Linked DNA regions of Elephas maximus indicus. The protein of the gene in region 2 interacts with the protein of the main gene of each other region in a pairwise test. Links are inferred from orthologs where the notes say so. Each region holds a gene or a part of one and is shown on either strand. Other genes may lie near its edges. The genes, in order: CAGE1, MPPED2 and RXRG.

Region 1 (8,057 bases), on a different chromosome or scaffold from region 2:
CTATTCTCTCCTTCCACCCCCTTATGCCTCCACTGGAAATTCTTCTATTGTTCCTTATATTGTTGAAAAAATTTTCATATGGAAGATAACATGAATGCTGAATGCATCTGCAGCTCCCAGAATCTACGAACAAAGCACACCTGAGGCAGGTCTGAAGCAGTACTGCTGGTTTCCAAGCAAAAGGGAGAATCTGAATAAGGAAAGTCTTGAGAAAGACTGCTGACATTCATGGCTTCTGCTTCCATCATACTTTCTAATTTTCTTGAGAAGTATCCACTTCAAAATGTACAGGATCTGAAGGTGATAACCAAAATTCTTGACAGTCCTTGTTCCTAAATGCTGAATGATGGAAAGGCCTCTTTAAAAAGGAGTTTTAATGCCTATTAGGATATGCAAACAAAAAGATATTTTTCCCAACCTTCTTCATGTTAAGAAAGCAGCAAAGTTTACAGCCCCAAATTTTAAAATGTCATTTGTCAAGTTAATGGAGAAATTAAAAATTTTAGTCTGAGTATATCATGGTAACTGCACTAGTAAATACTGCTTTGGACAAAAACAAGTTAACTCCCTAAAAAGCTTGGAACCCAGAAGGTGAAGGGATTCCTCAGTTATTTAAACAAAAACTACTTACAGAATATTATCAGAGATCTATTGTTGTTGTTAGGTGCCGTCGAGCCAATTTTCAATTCATAGTGACCCCATGTGATAGAACACAACTGCCCTGTTGAGTCTTCTAGGCTGTAATCTTTATAGGAGCGGATCACCAGGTCTTTCTCCCACAGAGCTGTTGAGCAGGTTCAAACCGCTAAGTGAATGCTTAACCCTTGTGCTACCAGGGCTTCATTAGGATCCACTAAACACTGTTTTTATTTATTTGATACTTTCTATCTCATTATCAAGTCAAATCTAACACTGCAAATCAGTTTTCCCTCCTCCTTTCCTATTCTCTCAGGCACCTGGGCTTGAAAGTTTGGAGATGGCTGTCACTGACATCCCTCTACATCTATCAAATTGACAGGACTTGGTAACTGAATAGTATCATCCCCAGCTATTCAGAACGAACAAATCTGTCTTGGAAGAAGGACAACCAGAATGCTCCTTAGAAGCAAGGATGGTGAGACTGCATCTTACATACTTTGGACATGTTGTCAGGAGGGATCAGTCCCTGGAGAAGGACATCATGCTTGACAAAGTACAGGGTCAGCAGAAAAGAGGAAGACCGACACAGTGGCTGCAACAATGGGCTCAAGCATAACGATTTTAAGGATGGTGCAGGACCAGGCACTGTTTCGTTCTGTTGTGCATAGGGTCGCTATGACTTGGAACTGACTCAATGGCACCTTATAACAACGATGGGTGTTCAGATACGGAGTCCTGTCAAATTCTCCTTTTAAAATTTCCTTGTGACCTCCTCAGGTCTGCCAGAAGGATGCCCAGTCACACCGAGTCCAATTCTTCTGCTTGGCTTTCTAGGCCTTTCATAACCTGGGCCCACGTTACCTACCCAGTACTCACTCTCCTTTTTTAGTTAGTTCAGGCTCATTTCCCTGTACTACATCATGCTTCTTATCATGTCAGTAATCTGCCCTGGCATGTGTCTCTCTCCTCCCAAATCGTTCCCAACTACCCAAGTTCTCATTCATCTATTTCTTTCAATTCCTTCATGTCTTCAATACGTATCTCACAATTCAGCACCTATCTGTTCACTTTTTTCATCCTCACCACCTTTTTGAATGCTGGTATTTACAAATTATAAGCACCTTGAGTCTATTTATGATTTTTCAATACTACCTACAGCAAACCAACCACTGTTGCCCACACAGTAAATACAGATTCAATAAATCCTCCACTCCGATTTATTTCTATTAAGTCCTCTTCATCTGTAGTCACTACTCATTTGCCTGGATTACTCAATTTGTTGAAGGCTGTTTTCAAATCTACGGCATCATTTGGTAAAATGTAAAAGACAACAAGCCAAGCAATCTAGTCAGGACTGATGAAAGGTCCAACTTTATGCCTATCTTCTGGACACATAAAAGCTACTGGGTTGTGGGAAAATGAAAAACCCAAAACCATTGCCATTAAGTTGATGCCGACTCACAGTCACCCTATAGAACAGAGTAGAACTGTCCCACAGAGTTTCTAAGGGGTGCCTGGTGGATCTGAACTGCTCTCCTTTCCCGTTAGCAGCTGTAGCTCTTAACCACTATACCACCAGGGTTGTGGGGAAGGAGCCTGAAAAACCCCTGTTTTATTTTCCAAATGCAAAAGAGGAAAGGATCTTATTTCTCAAAATTTTTTGTTTGTGAACTCAGAACTTCTAATTACACTTTTACAAATTTGTTTACTTCTCACATGGCACTGCACAATCTGTTTTTTTTTTTTTTTAATTAAACTACTTTTTCCATTTCTGATTTCTGTCCTTACCAGCTTTCTTGTTCGATGTAAAAACATTTATCCAAATGTATGGGCAGATATTCCAGACATTCTAACGCTGTTTTAAGACAGGCTTTAAAAGAAGTGTCATAGAGTTACTGGCAAAAATTTCGGATTTTCTAAATTTTTTGCAATCATAGGACTGCATTAACTTCTAAATCACTTATGACATTCTCACCTCAAAACAACGCACTAAACGTTTTAAGTCACAAAGGTGTTCTCACTTCCAGGTTCCATATAGCCTCCTGGATCTACAATAGGGATTTTGAGCTTCCTCCCTCCACACTGCGTGTTGTAGGAGGGAGGACACGTCTCAACCTTTTCCACTGATGGCTTTTAAAAACTTGCAGTTGGGATCCAGGCGTGTTGGAACAAGCCTGCTGTGACGTCCGCCCGAGCCCGACTAATGTCGTCAGGGAGAGGCTTTTGTCAGGCTCCGACGCCTTCGGTCCTGTCCCCGCGAGCGACGCCTCCCGCAGAGTTCTGAGTTAGGTGAGTACGACCCCCAGACCCAACAACCCGTTGCTCACATCTTTCTGCAGGAAGAAACACAAAGTGGGGTGCAGAAACGAGGTGCCTGCACGGGATTAGCTTGGACCAGCTTCTCAGTACGTTCACCTGACTTCCAGCGTTCTCCCACAACCGCTCCGTCGGGAGGCAACTGCTGATAATCAGCCCGGCCCACGGGCGAGACTTCCGGTCGGGCTGGCTTCCTGGAGTCCGTCCTTCCTATGTGGGCGGGGCTTCCGGTTGGGGAGGTTCGGGGTACTCGGGCGGTGGGTCCCGGTTGCTCACAGCACGTGGCGTGCGGCTTTGGCGTAGGGACTTCTGGAAGGCGTGAGAGGCGATAATCCGCGGAGAGGTCGTTGACTCGGCAGCCGGTGATGCGGTTCCTCTTCTAGCCTAGGCCGAGCGGCTTCCGGTGTTGCTGGGCGCTCGCCGCGTTTCCGTCATGGACTACCGGCGGCTGTTGATGAGCCGGGTGGTCCCGGGGCAGTTCGACGATGCGGAGTCCTCTGACAGGTGGACACATTGGCTTTGTTCAGATTTTGCTCTCTCCTCTTTCGCCCCTTGACGGGAGTTGACTTTTTTTCTGTGTGTTAGGGGGAGACTCAAGGCCAGGTATTCCGTCCCTGTTTATGGCGGGTTTAATGAAAGCCACTTGCTAAGTGGGTCTAGGGTTCCCAGGCTGGTAAGCGTCGCTGAGAGGCAGAGTTGAGGATAGAGGATGGCAAACCGGCTTTTGTGCTCTAACTACATTCAGCGTCCAAAAGATACTGATTGAACACCTGCTTTGTACCAGGGCCTGTCCTGGACGCTGAGGATAGTGACGAACAAGAAAATCAAGTCCTCACCGTCGTGGTACTTTACCTCCTACTTGGGGGCAGGGGATGAAATGTGGGGAGAGGCGAGTACATAGAGATTTTACAAAAGCAGATTATGGTGTACCCTGTGTGGATAATTCACATAGGCTGTTACAGTAAATTATGGCTGAATGGTCAAAGGAGGAGTAAGTACGAATCTCAGTGACAAAAAGGAGTTAGCCATGAGAAGAGCAGGGTGCACAGCATTTCAGGCAGAAGAGACAGCAAGTGCAAAGGCCCAGCTATGAGATCCCCCTTATTGTTAAATGATTATCAAGAAGCCAGAGTGGTGAGGAGTCCCTGCGTGGTGCAAAGGTTAATGCACTTGGCTGCTGGCTGAAAGGTTGGAGGTTTGAGTCCACCTAGAGGCACCTCAGAAGAAAGGCCTGGTGATCTACGTTGGAAAAATCAGCCATGGAAAACCCTATTCCTCTGAAACTTACCCTGAGATAACCTTTAATCCAAAAAATTATCCCCTGAAGTCTTAAAACCAAATTATACTCTTTAAGGACTATCTGTATGGGATCAAATTGACAACAGTAACTTGAAAGATTAGATAGGACCCTTAGAGGGCAGTAAGTTTGTGTTAATGTGGGAGGAACAGCTCAGAAAAGGAGGGTGAAAATGATTGCACAACTCAAAGAATGTAATGGATGTCATTGAATTGTACCTGTAGAAACAGATTGGTGTATCTTGCTGAGTATATTCTCATTAGGAACAACAACAACAAAATAAAGTTAAAACAAACACTGTGGGGCAGTTCTGCTCTTTCTCATGGGGTTGCTATCAGTTGGAATCAATGGCACCCAACAACCTAACATTCTTTTTTGTTAACTTATATAGTGACTGAAAAGAGACCAATTCAAAGATGATAAAGTAATCTGGTTCAAAGATGATGTTAGCTAGGGCCACAGGGATATGTTTTGGAGGTAGAGGTGACAGGGTTTGGCAGTAGATTGAATATGAGGTACTTAAAAACAAAATGAAACATTTTATGGAGTTATTTTGGAATTAAAAAAATGATTTTTGCTTCATTTATTCATAAAAATTCGTTATGTGTAGATTTTATTAATCCACTGGGAACCTTTTTTCAGTAAATATATGTCAAATGCTTTTTATGTATCTTATCTAAGTGTTGTCATATCTAGTGTTGTTAGTTGCCATTGAGTTGATTCTGACTCATGGTGACCCCATGTGTTACAGAGTAAAACTGCTTCATAGGGTTTTCTTGTCTGTAATGTTAATGGAAGCAGATCACCAGGCCTTTTCTTCCGTAGTACTGCCGAGTGAGTTTGAACTGCCAATTTTTAGGTTCACAGTGGCGCACAGGGATAAATTGGTAAACAAGACTATCCTGGTCAACACAGAACTTAATGCAGCAGGGAAGCATATTAAAATTAGACAAATTAGTTTGCTAGAATCGTGTGAGTACTACAAAGGAGAAATGGGTGAAGACTAGGGAAGACTTCCCAGAGCAAGTAAGCCAACACTGGAAGATTGAGTACGGTTTAGCCAGGAAAATGGAAGGGGCATTCCAGATTTAGTTTACAGTCATGGACAGAAGTCCTTAGGGAAGAAGGGAAATGGGCAGAAGCAGCACAGCCAGTGTGGCTGGTGAGTAGTTGATGGTAATCAGAGTTCACTGGTTTACCATTCATACTGAATGTCGTGAGGGTAAACCCGTGGCCCTCTACCAGGATGATTTGCCCTGAGGGGACTTTTAGCAATCTGGAGGTATTTTTGGTTGTCACAACTGGCTACTGGTGTCTGGCAGGGAGAGGCCAGGGATGCTGCTAAACACCCTAAAATGCACAAGATAACCTGCCACAAAGAATTATCTGGCCAAGGTTGAGAAGCTCTGGTACAAATGAAGCTATCAGTTTAATATGTCATTCTAGGTTATTGGCAATTTATTCCTAAATTTTATCAGAAAGACCCTCCCCCGCCCCACCTTAAAACAGCTCTGTGAATGATTTTCCTAGAGTTGAGTTCTAGTGTACAAAATCAGTCAATATACTTATCAGAGAAAATAAAAATATAAATTCTAACTTCACTGAAGCAGAAGTGGATTTAACACTTGATGTACTCCTTCCCTAGTAGGACTTGGGTGTGGAGAATAAGCAGACAACTGTAACAGAACTATAAAAAAACAGGAGAGTTTGGTATAAAGGAGGTGGGGCTTATTGGGAGACAATGTTGTAAGGAGACCTTGTAAATATCAGTATTGTATCATAAATAATTGTGTATGTGAGTTCAGTTATAGCATGTGTAAACATGCCAAAACATTGTTATTTCTAGTGAAAAAGAGGAAGATGGTGTTCCACTTGAAGACCTTCAAAATAAGGGTGAAGATGAGATAGAAGAGGAGGAGGAGGAGGAGGATTATGACGACGATGATGACTGGGACTGGAACGATAGAGTTGGGAAACTCACAAAGTGTTATGCGTCCAATAGAGGGAATAACCCACAGGTATTTTATAAACGGTCCTACACATCTTTAGCTTGTCTTATGTCTTTTTTTAAAAAGATTTTCTTCGAGGTCTTCTCATTCATTGATGTGGCTCTCAAGTGAGTAGCTGATTTTCCACAGATTGTATTGTCCTTTTTATTTTTTGTCCTTTCTGTATTTCTGATAGTTTCCTGATTGTGGATTCTTTACATAATTAATTTAAAAAGTTATTTAATGTATAATAAAATGAAGAGTTTAAAAATGTGTAGGAAAAGACACAGATAGGCAGTTTACTAAAAGTGGTTGAGAAACATGAAAAAATTTGAACCTCATTAGTTATTAAAGAACTGCAGATTGAATGTGTAGAGAAACCTTTGTTTTCCTATCTGTGAAACTGACAGTGACACAAAATATGTCAATTGATGATCAAGTAAATAAGTACAGTGTGATAAAAGGTTATAAACCCTTTGACTCAGCAGTTCTTCTATGGGGCAAACGGGTTAAATTTACTCTGAGACTGATCATTCATGCAGTGGGATATTACAGTTCTAAGACACGTTGCCATTGAAGACTTAATGACATGGACATATGTTCATGATCTGTCATCATCTACCATGCACAGAAGCCTCGTAACCAAACCATCTAGAGCCTGCTTCTCAAGCCAGAAGGACTAAGTGTGTCAGGGGTTTCAGAGCCAGAGGGTTGTTAGGGTGCATCTTCCTGGAGCATAAAGGTTACTCAAAGATATGGAGGGAAAAACACCAATATTTCCTTGATCTTAAAACAGCTTTATCAGGGACTAGAATGCATGAATTTTAAAAATAAAGTTCCAACTTGTGGTCTTGTTTTGGTAATCCCTCTGTTGATTTCTGATGAGACTGAGTAATTTCATAATAGAGTATAATCCCTTTAAAAAAAAAAAGCTAGAAAAATGACTAGAAGTATATATGTTTGTTAACTATTTGTGCGCTACAATTATAGACATTAAAAAAAATTTTTTTTGCTTGTGTTTTCTACCATGAACATATTTTAATTTTAGAATTATGTTAATAGTTAAATTTAATACAGATTTTTTTTTTTTTAAGTTCTGTACGAAAAAGAAAACTCAATCAGCCTCAAGAGTTCCATGCTGAGATAACAGGATTGAATCAATAGTTGTTTTAGGCCGTTTTTACTTAGGGGTTCTGATGTTGTCTCCACTTTCTTCTGTTTCTGCTGTTATTTTGGTTCATGTATAGCACCAGTGTAAGTGCTGAAGCCTTGCTCTTCCTCTTTCCTTTTCCCATGCTAGTCCACAGTAAAATTCTTAGAGCCAGTTTAATGTTGGTCTTAACTCTATTATATACTGGGGGGTGGGGGAAGTGTGGGTGAGGGGGGTGTAAATGAGTGTTCTTTGTTTTAAATCTATAAACGAGTCGAATCAGAAAAATGCATTTAATTTTAACTTGTTATTTATAATAATGAGGAGCACACTGTGGATAAGGAAAAAACCCCAGATTATGCACACTCTTTGTTCTAGCCAGTAACTTCAAACTATTTCAAATGCCTTTTTAAAAAAACCTTAAGCAACTTAGACTGACTCTTACCTTTCCTAGGGTACTCCAAAGTATTGATGCTTTAATAGCTAAATGTGGTTTTTATTTACAGCTGTTGCTTAGACTCTGTAACGATTTCTTTTAGGCAAATCGACAGACTTCTAACTACAGTTCTGCCAAAATGTCTACTCCAGCAGACAAGGTCTTACGAAAATTTGAGAATAAAATTAATCTGGGTGAGTTTATAAAATATGTTACCTTACAGGGCTATGA
Region 2 (7,809 bases):
CTCAAGACAGCCTGACGGGACTTTGGAACCCGCAAGTCCCAACTCCGCCAAATTCTTCACTCTTCTCCTTCTGCCGCACAGACGGAGTGCTTCCCCAACTCACGCCCCCTGCTCAGTTTTTTTTTTTTTTTTTTCCTTGCCCACCTCCAGTTACTCATCCCTACATTCCAGAGCGATGCCCACACGCCTTCCCGGCTTCTCTCCGTCAGGCTTTTCCAAGGATGCTCACACAAAGTTCCACGTGTCTCTGCCACAGAGCGCCCTGCCTAGCGCCGCACTTACACCTGAACTTGTCTCCAGCACTGCGGACACCCAGCTGGCACATTCTTTCAAAGAGGAAGGGCAAGACTTTTCTCCCGCGCCTCTGGCAACGTGTGGTGTCTATATATGGTGGGGCGGGGGGGCGCGGAATTCTCTACTTTGGATTGGTTTGTTTGTTTTAAATCTAGGCTGGGCAGTTGAAGGGGATAAGGGGAGCTTCAGTGACTACACACACACACACACACACACACGCCCTGCCCTCTGGGCTCACGGTCGGCTCGCCCGGGCCATAGCTCCCCCTTCCTTCCTGGAGCACCAGCTCGCCTTACTCGTTTAGTCCCTTGTTTAGTCCCCCGTTGCCGCCGTCGCCTCCGCTGCAGCCGCTGCTGGCACTGCTGGCTCTTGCGCTCGCTGCCCCGGGCTCCGCTGGGCGCCTGTCTTTCTTTCTCTCCCTCTACCCAAGCCCAGGATTGATTGATGACCACCGGCGGCCAATGGCTCTGACACCGCCCCATCCTTGCTGGGGCATCACAACGCCACTGCCCAGACTTCAGCCTCCGGGCGCGTTGGCATCCCCGAGCCCCCAGAGCCGGCGTCCCCGAGCCCCCAGAGCCGCACCGGAGCACAGAGCCGCTGCCGCCTCCTGCCTGTTCTCTGCCCCGGAGCTGCCGGGCTCCTTTCCCCGGGCCGCGGAGAAAGGAAGAAAGGGAGCCAGCGAGCCTTGGAAGGGGGAGTGGAGGCCACGGATTTTTGACCCCCCCCTTTGGAAATCTTTTCTTTCACTTAAAGTTTTGTTTGTTTTTTCCGCCCTGACCTGTTAGTGTTTATTGGTTCTCTGCATCTCAAATCAATTACACATTTTTCATGACCCTGTTTGCACTTAATATGGGGTGTGTGTTGGGGAAAAGTGGGGGCGGGTGAGTTATAAATTGACCCCACTAGGGCATCTTAATTTCTTGTCTTGCAGATGGATTTCAACCCCCACCTCCTTGATCTCCAGAAAAATGTCCCCCTTCAACCTCCTAGGCCGCAAAACCCCAGAATTCAAAGGCTTTGAGAAGATAACCCTGTTACATGTAAATGGCAAAGAAACTCCTGCCTCGGTATAGAAGAAATCGGGCGTCAACGGTTACTTTTTCTCGCTCCTCGTCTCCGCCGCCCAGCCGAGCCTCAACCCGCGTCGCCGGCTCTCTCCGCAGGCTGCGTTCGTGGAAACCGGAGGCGGCGGCGGAGCGCGAGGTTGGGGCGGGGGACACGGTGAGAAAAAGCCCCGCGCCCCGGCGGCGCGCGCGCAGGCGGCCCCGGGGACAGCCGCGGGGCGCAGCCGGAGCACAAAGCTGCACGGCGCCTTCCCGGCCACCGCACCTCGCAGCGGGCTGCCGCGGGCGCCCGGGGCTCGGGCCAACACAATGCACCCGGGCCTAGGCCGGGGCGGCTTGAACACATCACCCCGAGACTTTGTAGTAAACAGCTCGTCGAGCCCTCGTCCCCACCGCCATCCCCGCCGCCCGGCTTTCGCTGCTGCCTCCCGCCGACACCCCCTCCTCCCCTCCTCGGAAATCCTGACGGAAGAGGAGGCGGTGAGGTGGGACCCCGAGAGGTCGGGGGCCGAGGTCTGGGGGGAGGGGAGAAAGAAGAGGGGCAAGATGGGGAGTAGGAAGGAAGACAGCTTCCAAAAAATAATTCTCTTTCGCTCGGGGGTTGGAAATCAACCCTCCCCGGGTCCCGGCGCGCGGCCGAATTGTCTGGGGGGCGCCCTCCAGGGCGAATGTCAGGGGCATGGGGCAGCCGCGGTCCGTAGCCGCCGAGCCCCTCGCACGCGCCTCTGACAAGGCACCTCTCACCCGGGCTCCGCTTTGTGTGTGCATTTTTTTCCCTTCCTCTCGCGCTCTGCACCGGGCGCTGGGCCGCCTCCTCCCCCTCCCCCGCCTCCCTTCCCGGGGCGGATTACCTTTCCCGGGCTGCGCTCCGGGTCCCGGGGATGCCTTCAGCGCCCAGCGAGCAGGCGATCCATCGCCGAGCGACCCGAGCAGGCGGGAGGCGCGCGTAGGGCGCGCGGGGGCGGCAAGGGCGCGGGCGGGCCAGAACCTTCGACCCCCGAGGTCCTGCCGCGGACGGGGGCAGGGGGGCGGGGGGCAGCGGCGCTAGAGGGAGGCGGGGGAGAAAGGACTGGAGCAGCCTCGATCTGGGGAGAGAGCGAGCGAGGGGGCGAGGAGAGGGAGCGAGGGCGCGGCGAGCTGGAGGGAGCGCGAGCGGTGCAGTGACAGGGACTGCCCCTGGGGTCAAAGGAGCACAGCTTCAGGAAGCAGGGCGGCCGAGGCGCCGCTCCGTGCGCGCTCCCCAGCGGGACCCCGCGCCCCCGCGAGCCCCTTCTGCAACTCCGGCCCGCTTGAACCCCTACAGGCGCCCCGAGGCCCTGGAGTTGAGACTGGAGGAGGAAGCTGAGGGCGAGGCAAGCAGCCTGCTGGTGCTCCGGGTCAAGCAGGCGGCAGGAAGCTGAGCTGCAAGTTCATCATCATGAGTATGATCAGCCTAAAAATGATGGGGATGGGAGACTACGGAACTCCAGGAAAATAAAGGGAGTTTTCCCTCCAAATGGGCGTCTTCTGCAAAGAGAACGCCCAAGCCCCCCACCCACCGACCTGCCGGGCGCTGTCAGGAGTCCTGGCACTGCTCCAGAGCGCAGAGCTAGCCGCCGGGGTAATGGGGAATGGCTCGGGCACTGCCTTTCGACCACGGACGGCGACCCCAGGCCTCCTTCCATCTGCTGACCTGAGGCTTTCCTGGGGGAGAGCTGCGCTTCCTTTCCCCAAGCCTTTCAGCGCGTCAGACGCGCGCACACACACACACACACACACACACCCACCCCTCTTTCTCTCTGCAATGTTGTTCCTAAGAAAGAAAAGGCCAATCTAGCTGATAATTTTTTTCACCTCCATGGTTCGGGATTGCCAGGTGAGGAGAGGGACACTCTAACCGTCTTCATTTTTTGTCCTTTGGACGGATTTTCCCCCAAAAGATAAGCATTTCAAAAAAATCTTTTAAATCAAAGTTTGTCCACTTTTCCCTGCTACTTTGCAAAATAGAAGAAAAGATTTTCAGAATTGCATGCAAACAACACGGAAGGGAAGAACTGCTGAAATGCTAGGCGACAAGGAAGAGAAGGCTTTTAGAAAACTTGGACTGCAGGGCTTTCTGTGGAAGATGAGGTGGCCCTGTGATGTTATGCCATTGTCAGTGCTGAAGGGTTTGGACGGCAACCAGATCTGATTCCTTTCCAGGAGTCAAACTCAAAGATCTAGGCACTCTCTGGAGGGAAGCCCCCTAAAAAAGGAGACATTTCAACCTGGCCTGTGGCCTCTGTGTTGAGACTAATTGGTTGCCAGGGTCTGGGGAGGACAGGAGTGAGGTTGGTAGGAACCCCTATAAAAAAAAAAGATCAAACGGAATTCACCTGAAATTATTTCCCTTTTATAATGGGCTTTCCTAGCACTTGAATTTTAAGTAACCTGTCTCTTATGCATGGGATGAAATGAAGGGGGAAATGGCTTTATTAATGTATTTATTTTATTGTACAGCAAGCCCAAAGTGTCAGTACTTGTCAAATATACTGGGACTGAGAGGCCAGTGACTTTCCTGGCCCAGCACAAATCACAGCAAGCAACATTAAAGGATGCCAAAGATTATTGAGGGAGACATCATTATATTTTGTTTTCTTTTGTTTTCCAGCCCAGCAACAAGCCCTAACTGGAACCATGTTTTTGAAAAAATGCTTGGTTTTGTTTCTCTTTATGAGTTAGCAGTACACTTCTCTTATCTAAATGGCTTTCATTTTTAGACTGATCTGGGCTGATTTGGTCAGTCAAAAAATCATGATCAAATAATTTTCGTGTTTATTTTTTTCCTTTTTTTTTTTAAACCAACTGGTAGTCAATCGAACCAGCTAAATTAGATTGTATTATGATCCTGAGTCCGAGTACGTCCATGCAGACAACAAATAATAATACTTTGTACTTGAGGGGCACATTTTACAGGATATTTAACGCTTTAAAAATCAAAGGAGTGACCCTTTATAAACTCGATACAAAATTTCAAGCCATTTTACTGAGTGGGGGAAAATTGGGACAAAGAGGCTTAAAATTGTAACTTGCGGTGAAGGAAGAAATCAACCCCCACTCTGTCCCTGCTGATGGAGCAATTATCCACTGGGGGAAGTAGTGGCTGACCTGTATTTGGGTTATGAATTTTTATTTCTATTAGGCTACTAAAACAAAGAAGCTGGAGAAATGTAAGTAAATTTAAATAATAAAGCAGGGACAAAAGCTCACTTTTCAAATAATTCTCATTACTTGGGTTTGAACAGATTACATTTTGTTAAATCACGTCCTCCATAAATACAGCACTGGGTTGGTTGGGTTTTACCCTAAAAGCTTGTTTTAAAATGATTGGATGTTAACCATGTCTGTCCCCTGACATCAACTTTGAAACGTAGCTTCATTATACCAAATTTTAAATGCCATAGCTAAGGCTTGTTTTATATTATTTTAAGGTAAATGAGCCTCTGAGTTCCATTATTTTTTTGTCGCTGTCATTGTTAAATTCAACTTTTATTGCACAAAAAGCAAATACCAAGTTTATCACAGTCTCTACGCAAATATTACAAATTGTTTTCCTTTAACGGACTGTAAAACTGAACGCTTTCTCCAGTAATTTCATGGAAGGAACTGGGAAATTTGATTCCTGATAGCCCACTGTAGTACCTTCTAAAAAAAAAAAAGTACATTTAGGGAAGAAACAGAGAAAGGATTGTGGGAGAACTTTGGGTGGAAGCTTGAATAAGTGAATGCTAACTTCCCTTGCAAACTCAATACTTTATTTGGAGTTGGCTTTCGTCTTCCCTATGAGAGCAGGGTTTCCAGAAGCTTCAAGGACACGTTTGCAGTGTAAAACTTAGCTCGGTCCTGTGTTTCTTCTTTAAAAAAATTTATAGAAATTATTGTATTTTGTTGAAAACTTCATTGAAATTATACCAATCTAATTCTAGGAACAGTGACTATTTTTACCACTTTTTTTTTTAAGTTGCATCTTTTATCATTTTACAGCAAAGGTTAAAAGTATATTATCAGAAATCAGAGCCTCTGAATAGAACTACTAGTATTGTAATGCAGTTAGAAAAAGCCTGATTGAACAAACACCTTTCCTTTATTCTGAATTCCTACAGTTTTTACATTCTTGACTTGTTTAAAATGTTTTCACTGTAACCCCCTCAAGTTCAAGAACCATGTCCTCCATTCCTTTGTGTCTCTCATCCTTACATCCCTTGCACATAGTAGGGATGGTTAATAAATGAGAGAATGCATGAGTGAATGAGACAAATAGATAGTAAAGGGAAGTTCACACCAGGTATGCAAGGAAGGAAGTGATGTCATGAGGCCAGGGTTGGAGGAGAAGAGCTAAGGACTTCCATGTCGCTAAAATAGTAAGTTTTAAAGGGTTTGCTAATGTCTTTAGAAATATAAAATAATACATAAGACTAAGTTTCAGAAATTAATTTTCCCTTAGGGAAACAGGATTGGTGTCTATCATGCACATTTAAAAGAAGTCTTCTTTTTAAATACGGTAGGATTCCGCCCCCCCCCCCCCGCCCACCAAAAATAAAAGAAAGAATTCTGAGTAAAATTTGTACCTTAACACTTACAGGAATAATGTGTCACGATAACTACTCAAAAGAAACTAAAGTGATTAACCCGATTCTTTGATAGATCCTTTTGTAAGCCCTCAATATAAATATATAAATAATATTTTTTGATCATTGTATTTACAATTTCCTCCTGCTAACCAATAAAAAATGTTCATGACTAAGAATGATTCAGGACCTTTGCACTAGAACTAATGGAATTTTATTTCATGAAATAAATTTTAAAGGCGTTATCTTAGAAATGTTAGATTTAATCCGGCTTTGCAGGCAGCTTAGATAATAAGCAAGGAGGGGATGGAAATCTTAAAATTTTGTAGAACACTCACTAATTTTTACCATACTTGGTAGCCAAAGTCTAGCATGTATCACTAAATCAGGCAACTGTTATTCTCACAATAATTAATTTTAAAAGTCTGAGCAAGATGGCTAGCATAAGTTAGTGTTTTTAGTTTTGATTCCCATCCTAACAGACTTGCGCAGTCTCTGTTATCAATTAATGCTTGCCGAGTCTTCCCCCACCTTGTGCTCCTAATTTTGGAGAAATAGTAAAATTTACTGGTCCTTGGATTTTTTTTTTTTTTTTTTTTTTGGATAGGCTTGTCATGGGGGAAAAGGCATTCTCACTGAAATAAAAGCCAAAGTAATTGCAATTGAATAATGGGCAGTGTAAAAAACCCATAATAACCTGATTAAAGAAAATGTATGTGGGGGTTTTCCAGTTTAATAATTCAATTTGACAAGCTAGCATAAGATATATCAATATTTCGAGTAAACGATATATAATGTGATTTTCCTTCTAAGGAAAAATAAATGAATGAATACAATTTTTAAAAATTGAAATTGAGAGGCCACCAGAATCTAAAACTCGTTTCTCACAGTATTAGTATAAAGATTCGATTATTCGACAAATGTTTTAAGCTCTGCTCTGTGCCGGGCACTGTGCCTTACACCATGCCGATGGTCTAATGATGCAAAAAGCAGGTATTTCGTTCTCACCATTCGGAGGTTATAATCTAACAGGGATGGGGAGAGACTCACAGATAAATAAAACAAAAAAATGAAAATTGTATCTATGAAAAGAAGAGGCAACTGGCACAAAGGAAACATTATAATCTGTGAAAACAAGGGGCAACCAGTGCAAAGAAAATGGAGGAAACAAAGACAAGGATGTCATCAGATAAAGGAAGCCAGTGTGGCCGGAATGCTGAGGGTGAGGAAATGCCTGGTGTGAGAGGCATGGGTCTGGGTCTGTAGGTAGAAGCCAGACCGTAGGGCCACGTTAAAGACATTTGAAGGTCACAGCTAAGGCCCTGTTCAAGATGTTTCACTTTATCCTGAGGGCAAAGGGAAGCTGTTTAAGGATCTTAAGTAGAAAGGGTAACATGATTAGATTTGTGTTTTGAAAAGGTCAATCCTTCCCAGCGTGAAGAATGGATTTTAGGGAACTAGAGTGAATGCACAGTTGTTGCACCAGGGTGGTGATGATGGTAGCCTTCCTGATGGTACACTTCGGAGAAGTCAAAACATGGAGAGACATGAATGGATTCAAATGATTTGAATAAATTTTACATAATAAAAATAAAGAAGACCAGAATCTTGAAATGTAGGCTGAAGGCTTGGTTGTACCTAGCCAGAGAGGCTGAGAGCCATACTGGACAACAGACTTCCTTTCTTACTCACATTCCATTCACATTCCAGCTTGCCTGTATTTCCAAGTCAACTCCTTTCTATTCTACACTCCCCTTTTGGAATTGCATCTTCTCACAAAGAACTGCAGCATCAAATAAACACAACGCTGTTAGAAAACGTCATTAATATAACTTCATTGGAACAAGCAGACCCTAAAATTT
Region 3 (7,214 bases), on a different chromosome or scaffold from region 2:
GCCCCAGACACAAATCCCAGGTATTATTTCCAAAGGGTGACGCTGGTTCCTCTGGAGATCGTCACGCAAATCACAGGGGTCCTCGGTGGTTCCATTTGCTAAGATAATTATGGGTAGGGGTTCTACACCAAATCATTTAATAAGGGCAGCATAATTCGCTGCGCTGGGGCAAAGGCAAGTCAAAGCTGCAGGTGACCTGTACACCAATCCTCAGATTTCACCGTGCCTGCAGGTGGGCCCCCCTACTCCCACCCTCCCTCATCACTGCAAGTCTCTGGTCCTGGACAGACAGGGTTCCCTGCAGATGGAGGAGGAGTCTTCTGGCTGTGTTTCAGCCTTCTCTTAACTGGCACTTACAAACAAAATGGAAAACATCAACAGAACGAAACAAAAATAATCGTTTTCTTCCCTCAGGAACGACAAGGAAAAGTAACATTCCAGAGAGACATCTAAACAACCTAGATGGCCCTTTCCCCTCTGTCCCCAATGTTACATGGACTTTGTTCTTCCCTGGCTGCACAGTTATGTTTCCTTCTATCTGAAACCTAATTACACTAAATACACGGCTCCTACAATTATGGGAATTTAAGCCAGAGAGAACGGGTTTAATTTTATTTTCCCAGATTCCTAGTTCATTTTTCAACAATAATGTCTGATTTTTAATTAGTTTGCGTGTTAGTATCTGAGCAAAATGGAAGGATGAAAGTATTAACTTTTATGAAATACTAAGTACAGTAGATAGACCATACCAGAGTAGCTGCTTTTTCACAGGCTAGTCATTTAATTCTCAATTATTATCTAAAAATGAGATTATACACCCCATTTTAGAGATTAAAAACTGAGGCTTGGCCCACAGAGGTTCAGTATCTTGCCTAAGGTCATGCAGTTGGCTCAACTCAGCCAAACTCAGCTCACTTGTTCCATCTCTGTCTGTCTTCTCTGTTTCCCCCTCTCTCTCTTATGCTCACCATATCAGATTACAGCAATACTATCACAGATCTGAGTCAGGGGCTTCTCCAGGAAGGCTCGACCACTCAAGGTCACGTATCTTTGGACTAGTCCCTGCCTTCCATTAGGCTTCAGTTTTACACATATATAAAACAAGAGTTCTAAGAAGCTCCTTCAGGCCCCTTAGGGTGCTAACATTCCGAAATTTCAGCAGCAGTCCCGGTAGAATTTTAAGCCTCTTTCTCTAGTCTATATCTTAGCTCTCTTCGTACATCTTCCACCGTCAACCTTGTCTCAAAGGGCCTCCTTGGCATTAACAAAGCCATATCCTTCAAGAGCTCAGGGGTCCCGAGAATCTGGCCAAGGATAAGCACGTTCTTCAGTCAACTGAACTCGGAAGGAAAAGTGATTCTCAAATCTATGAATGGGGCAGAGATGGGAGCTGAGAAGGATTTTCACACCCAGGTCCCAATTATGAACCAATGTCCAGGTCACACTACTGGCCACCACTCTCCCTCGGCCACATCACCAGACTGGGCCAAATAACTTAAACATTACCTCTTCAGGAACCTTCCCGTGGGGCCCCTCCCCTGTGTCCAGGTAGCTCCCTCCTCACACCTTCCAGGTAGCATGCACTACAAAAACCCAGTACCATTGAGTCAATTCCGACTCCGACTCATAGCGACTCTCTCTCTCTATATATGTTTTATATATATAGCATGCACCTTACAGTATTAAAATGTATTTAACCAACCTCCCCTGGCCAAGAGCAGGGACTGTGTCTCATTCATATTGTATTTCTAGCACTTAGCACTACACTTGGCTCACAAAAACTACCCAATGAATGACCAAACCACCTGGCCAGACACCTCCAGGCAGGGGGCCTCGTCCACCTTGCAATATTCTGCCGTGCCCCACCAAGTGTTCTGCCCAGCAAAGCAGGCAGCCTTCACACCCAAGCCTTCAGATGAATTGGCTATCTGTCCGCTGAGAAGGTCAGAGGAGCAGAGACTTTGCAGTTCTCAAGACCTTACGGGAATTTCTGTCTTGTCCTGTCTGCCAACATCCACAGGGCAAAAGCTGCCCTTTGGCTCCAAGAATACAAGCTACATGCCACCAACTGACAAGTGAGAGGCCAGTTGGTCAGCTGTTTGTCCATTTACTCAAAGCTGGATGCCTGCTTGCACTGTTCCTATCACTGAATGGAGGGATCCTTCTGGCTGATCTGCCTGGGCGTGAAGGCAGTCTGAGGACCCAGTCTCTGGAACCGGAAGCCTCTCTGAAGGATGACTGGACTGCCTTGCCTGGCTTGACGACTTGCATCATCCGTTTATCAGCTCTCTGTTATAAGACCCCAGACTCCTGTCCATCCAGATCCCAACCCCAGAATGGAAATGATAGCAGGAGCCCTTGCTTTGGAATTGGGGTCAACAGCAGAGTTGGGGAAAAGAGGCTATTAGCAAATCAAAAGGAAGAAAACAGAGGAAAGAAAACCCTCCTGGCAAATTAAAGTGCTATGTTTTCTTTTTACAAATCCAATTATATGGAAAGCTGCTTTTAAATTAAAAAAAAAACTCTTGTTACGAAGTATCCCAGAGACCCTTCATATAGATAAAACCTTTCTGATCACATTTTTTTCCATTACAAGTTGAATAATAGGCAAAGCATGGTAATTTCTCTTTAACTCCTCCACTTTTCATGCCCACACCAACACACTGGGTTATAACAATGTTCTTAGTCTATCTTTGTCTCAGACATTCTCAGTATGTTGGCTAAGGCACTGTCCTTAGATATTCCTTTTTCTGTTCACTCGCCTTTGCAGAAAAGCACAACCTCACCTACAGAACCCACTTTCCTGCCCCAGCCCTCTCTCCCTCTCTCTCTCTCTGTGCATAGACACAGACTCTCACACAGAGAAGCACTATATATGCAAATAAACGTATATTCTCCCCTTTTAATTCAACACTAATCCAGTTACCCAATTTCCTCTCCGTCTTTCCAGACCGGTCCACACAGTGAAGTCCGAGTGAGATACTTACCACCAAAGCCGGTGGGAAACTTCATGAAGTGAGAATAATTTCCATACATGTTTACTCTTCAGTTCATATTTCTCTCTTGTCTGTCTTCTAAATATCACAGCTTCTCCCCGCTCCCAGGCAAAGCTGGACTCTCTTCAACTTGGGCTAACAAGAGTGGTCATCGCTTCCTAGCAGCCCCAGGAACAGAGGCTGGGCCAGCCCTCTGGGATTAGTCAGGAATCTGCCTCTAGATCTGAGAGTCCACATAGTGCGTTCGAGACGGCTGTGGCAGCAGCAGCTGGTGCCTGTCAGTAATCACGCATAATGCTGCTGCCGCCACCGCCACCGCCGCCGCTGGAGATCCTGTTGCTAGTTAGATTAACTCAGGGCTGGGCTGGATGCGTGCAACTCTTCCAGCTCCTGGCTGGTCCCCGGAGGTCCCTACCAGTGGCACAATCTATTATCTAGGAAGCCAATCGATGTATGACCGCCCCGGAGTGGGTCAGGAGGGGCGGGGGGAGGTAGCAGGGGATGGAAGAGTCTTTAGGTGACTTTTCCTTGACTCGCACCCACAAAAATCAATGGGGGTTTATTAAAATGCATTTTCTCACTCGGGCGTCTATCTGTCCAATGCACTTGGTATTTGATCTGTTGAAAGGGGGTGGGGGTGGGGACCAAGAGAGAACAAAGCCCTTTCATAAGCAGGAGATTACAGAAGTGTGAGACCAATCCTCAGCTACCGAAAACCAAAATAGAATGGCCCTCACATTTGGGATGGGCCTCTCCTGCCTGCCTTAGTGGCTGGAAGAGTTTGTCTGTGTCCTAACAATGAAGCCCAAACAAGTGTGGTGGGAGCCCGAACTCACCCATATGGGACACTTAAAGGTAGGGAGGAGGTGTTGGCTCCATGTGGTGGTCATTCTGTGATGTTTCCCTGGAGGGACACATCTGCCTTATACACCATTGTCATTGTGCCACCTCTTTAAAAGGCACCGCTGGCTTGTCACTGACCCGGAGACTCTTGGATGGAACCAACCCACAGATGAAATAGCCTAAGCGCCCCTTGATGTTTATGTCTGTGAAGCCACTACTCAGCATATGCTTGAACACTTCTAGTAGGGGGACCCCACTACTACCCCATTCCATCTCCAAACAGCTGTTACCATGCACCTATTTTTTTATTGAGCTGAAATCTGCCCTTTTTCCCTAAAGTTTCTGCCCACTGGTCTAAACTGAGAAGCCCATGGAGTCTTTCATAGTGCGATCTCCCGGGTCATTGCAGCTTCAATCATTCCATGTATCACAGAAGATCCAAGTCTATTCACAACCTATCCTTTTCCTATGAATGTACTTCAATTTACTAAATACCTTCATGGTGGGGTGGGGGGATGGCAGGCCTGGATGTAATACTCCAGACACGGTACAAGTCTTCTCCTCACGGTATATGTGTCAGCAGGGCCATGAGGGTGCTCTTAGCACACTCTCCAAGGGTCAATGTCAGGGACTCAGCTCTGTGGGGCTGAAGCAGACTGAGAGGTTTTCTTCTGATGCCGTATGGTACACAGAGAACCCGAGAGACAAGTCAAATTGGGGCCCCATAGGAAAAAGTCAAGATTCAATACTAGGAAACCCCAGGCAAAAACTAAGAAGCAGAAGCAAGGTCAGGCTGGAAGAGGAGGAGGGGACCAATGTGGGGGCCAGAGCAAGAGCAGGCCAGGAGTAGGAAGAAAGGCCCAGGCCATTGCTGTGAAGGACCTTGGAGCACCCAGGCTCCCTTGGCTGGTTGCTGAGTTCTCAGAGTGTCAAGGTAGAGAGGACCACTCACTGGTATTAGTTTTGGGGCAGTCCCACATGTTAATTCATGTGGAACTAACTTGACAAACCCCCCTCCATTTGTGTTCCTTATTATACATATTCCTCAGCCCATTCTTGGCCAAATGCTCTGGGGGCTGATATGCAATGTCTTCTTATATTCCTCTGAAATGAAAACTTTAATTCATTCATCATCCCAGATCTTTGGGGATCTTACTTGTGTCATCCAGTGTATTTCTTTTGCTTCCCCCCATTTCATGACTTCTGCAAATCTGATGAACTGTAGTCCATAGCTTATCCAAGTCACTGATAAAAATGTTGAAAAGGGCATAGCAAGATATCTTATAGCATGCACGCTAGAAACTCTATTCATTAGCACCTTTGGCACTTTGCTCTGCCACTGACTAGTTACCTGGCCTGGAGGGGCTACATCTGTAGGGAAAGCACCCACACAGGAGTCAGCCCCACTGGGTGCAAATTCCAGTCCCATATTGCTTAGAGCCTTGTGATATTGGCAAGTTACTGCATCTCCCTGGGCCTCAGTGAACTTACAGGATTATTGTGAGGATTAAATGTGTCAACACATGTTAATCACTTAGAAATATGCCAAATATACAGTAAATGTTTGATATGTGTAAGTTATTTCGATGATGACGTAAACTTAAGCAAGTCACTACTTCTTATTTCCTTTTTCTCATTTGCAAAATGATAGAGCAGAGCTAGATGAGTTCTAACATCTTCTTTAACTTCAAAATTTAATGCAAACTAGTTCACCATCCATTCTATAACTGTCCATTTTCTCCCTGAGGTATATGAAGCAAATGCCTTGCCGATGTACCAACTACATTTTTCTCTAAGTCTGGTACACCTATCACAGAACGAAAGGAGTTATCTCAACACAACTGGCTTCTTGGTGAACCCATGCTGGCAAGGGTTCTTCCAAGTATTCAAAGACTACCCTTTAAAAAAACCCGTTCTAGGATTTTGTCCTAGGTCAATGATGATATGTTTGTTGGTGGTTTGTGGCAGATTCTCCTTTCTTCCCTTTTTGCTAAGTTAGGTACATTGTCTACTTCTTTATCTCCAGACAGAATAAAATGCAGATTACTAAACCTGGCATGAAAAGGCCTCACCATCATGTCTCCACCCACCTTTGAGCTCATGTAGAGGAAAGCACTCTGGGGCAGCAATCATAGACCCAGGCTACATACAGCTCTGCTACTCTCCAGTTGTGCGACCTTGGGCAAGCTCGTTTAACCTCTGGGGAAAATACCCAGGCTGCCTCCCCCACTGAGATGTCTCTTCGTGTGAGTGTGTGTGTGTGTGTGTGTATGTGTGTGTGAATCATAAGTGATACAAGTTGGATATGTGTTTTTTGCACACTAAAATTCTATACAAATACAAGAAATTAATGTTTTCTTCTTTTCTTGCTTCCTTTGATTGCCCCCTCTGGCCTGGCTGTTTCATTCACTGTGAGACCATGGAATGCTCACTCCAACCTCTGGTTCATTGTGCACGCCTGTTTACCTTCTCCTACCTGTCAAATTCTTACCTATCACTCAAGTCCCAGCTCAGTTGCCACCATGACCACAAAGATCTCACCCTAGCCTCAGTCTGACACAACTCATTGCCCAGTGTGTTCAGATGACACCTGCAACATATGACCTGAGGCATCCCCAGTGCAGTGGGACTGAACTGTTATATACCTTTCCTTTGAGTTTTGAGTATATCTTGTCTTCATAACACGATTGCTAACTCTTCAAAGGTAGTGTTTGTATATTACATGTCTTTATTTTCCCACATAAAGGCTAGAACACACAGTAGGTGCTTAATAAATATTTTTACATTAAAAAATGATTGATAAGCTTATAATATACAAGACACCTCAGGCTGCTTTCCCTGTGATACCGTCCCGTGTGGTTTAACATCCCAGTCACAAAACAAAAACTTTGCCTAAAATTCAAGAGAAATGAATGTGACTTTTCTCTTCCATCCAAGTTTTTTTTTTTTTTTTTTGCTTGGCACCACTGTGTCTTGTCTAAGACCATTATTGATATAACAACATTATCCAAACCATCTGGTATTTCTAACCTAAGCCCTTCACAGACAATCGCGCTGGCTTCAGCCACTCTAGTGTCTCCACCTGTTACCGAATTCTCACTTGGATGTCAAATGAAAAAACCAAATGCTCAATGTCCATAGTTGGAATCAGCTAATTCATTTATAAGGATTCTTGGCTCACTTCTCGTCAAGGCTGATTATCTTTTCCTCTTAAATGACACGTTCTGCTTTTATTAAAGCCGTTAGTGCTCCTGAGTAAATAAAAAGGGGATGAATTTTCACGGGTAGTTTTGACAGACCCAGCCAATAGCTTATATTTACCCTGGTGATCAAACTAAGTGGCTTTACCTCTGGTCTTAAATTTTTTTAAATTTT

What was found.
Region 1: the proteins of MPPED2 (region 2) and CAGE1 interact in binary tests that used the Homo sapiens proteins (3 or more experiments, as listed by UniProt). The two-hybrid records come from large-scale screens. The link is inferred for Elephas maximus indicus from reciprocal best matches to the Homo sapiens genes MPPED2 and CAGE1.
Region 3: the proteins of MPPED2 (region 2) and RXRG interact in binary tests that used the Homo sapiens proteins (3 or more experiments, as listed by UniProt). The two-hybrid records come from large-scale screens. The link is inferred for Elephas maximus indicus from reciprocal best matches to the Homo sapiens genes MPPED2 and RXRG.

Annotation. Positions count from the first base shown.
Region 1 is NC_064819.1:49,665,351-49,673,407, forward strand, and holds the start of CAGE1 (cancer-associated gene 1 protein), read right to left. Parts: upstream 3,061-8,057; 5' UTR 2,615-3,060; intron 340-2,614; 5' UTR 249-339; coding exon 141-248; intron 1-140. Other genes in the region: RIOK1 (serine/threonine-protein kinase RIO1), read left to right, coding at 3,389-3,459, 6,099-6,270, 7,930-8,020.
Region 2 is NC_064825.1:85,685,600-85,693,408, forward strand, and holds the start of MPPED2 (metallophosphoesterase MPPED2), read right to left. Parts: upstream 3,072-7,809; 5' UTR 2,904-3,071; intron 2,857-2,903; exon of another isoform or gene 2,213-2,856; intron 2,128-2,212; exon of another isoform or gene 2,106-2,127; intron 2,092-2,105; exon of another isoform or gene 591-2,091; intron 569-590; exon of another isoform or gene 283-568; intron 1-282. UniProt on the Homo sapiens protein: Displays low metallophosphoesterase activity (in vitro). May play a role in the development of the nervous system.
Region 3 is NC_064821.1:205,835,528-205,842,741, forward strand, and holds the start of RXRG (retinoic acid receptor RXR-gamma), read right to left. Parts: upstream 3,038-7,214; 5' UTR 3,037-3,037; coding exon 2,988-3,036; intron 1-2,987. UniProt on the Homo sapiens protein: Receptor for retinoic acid. Retinoic acid receptors bind as heterodimers to their target response elements in response to their ligands, all-trans or 9-cis retinoic acid, and regulate gene expression in various biological processes.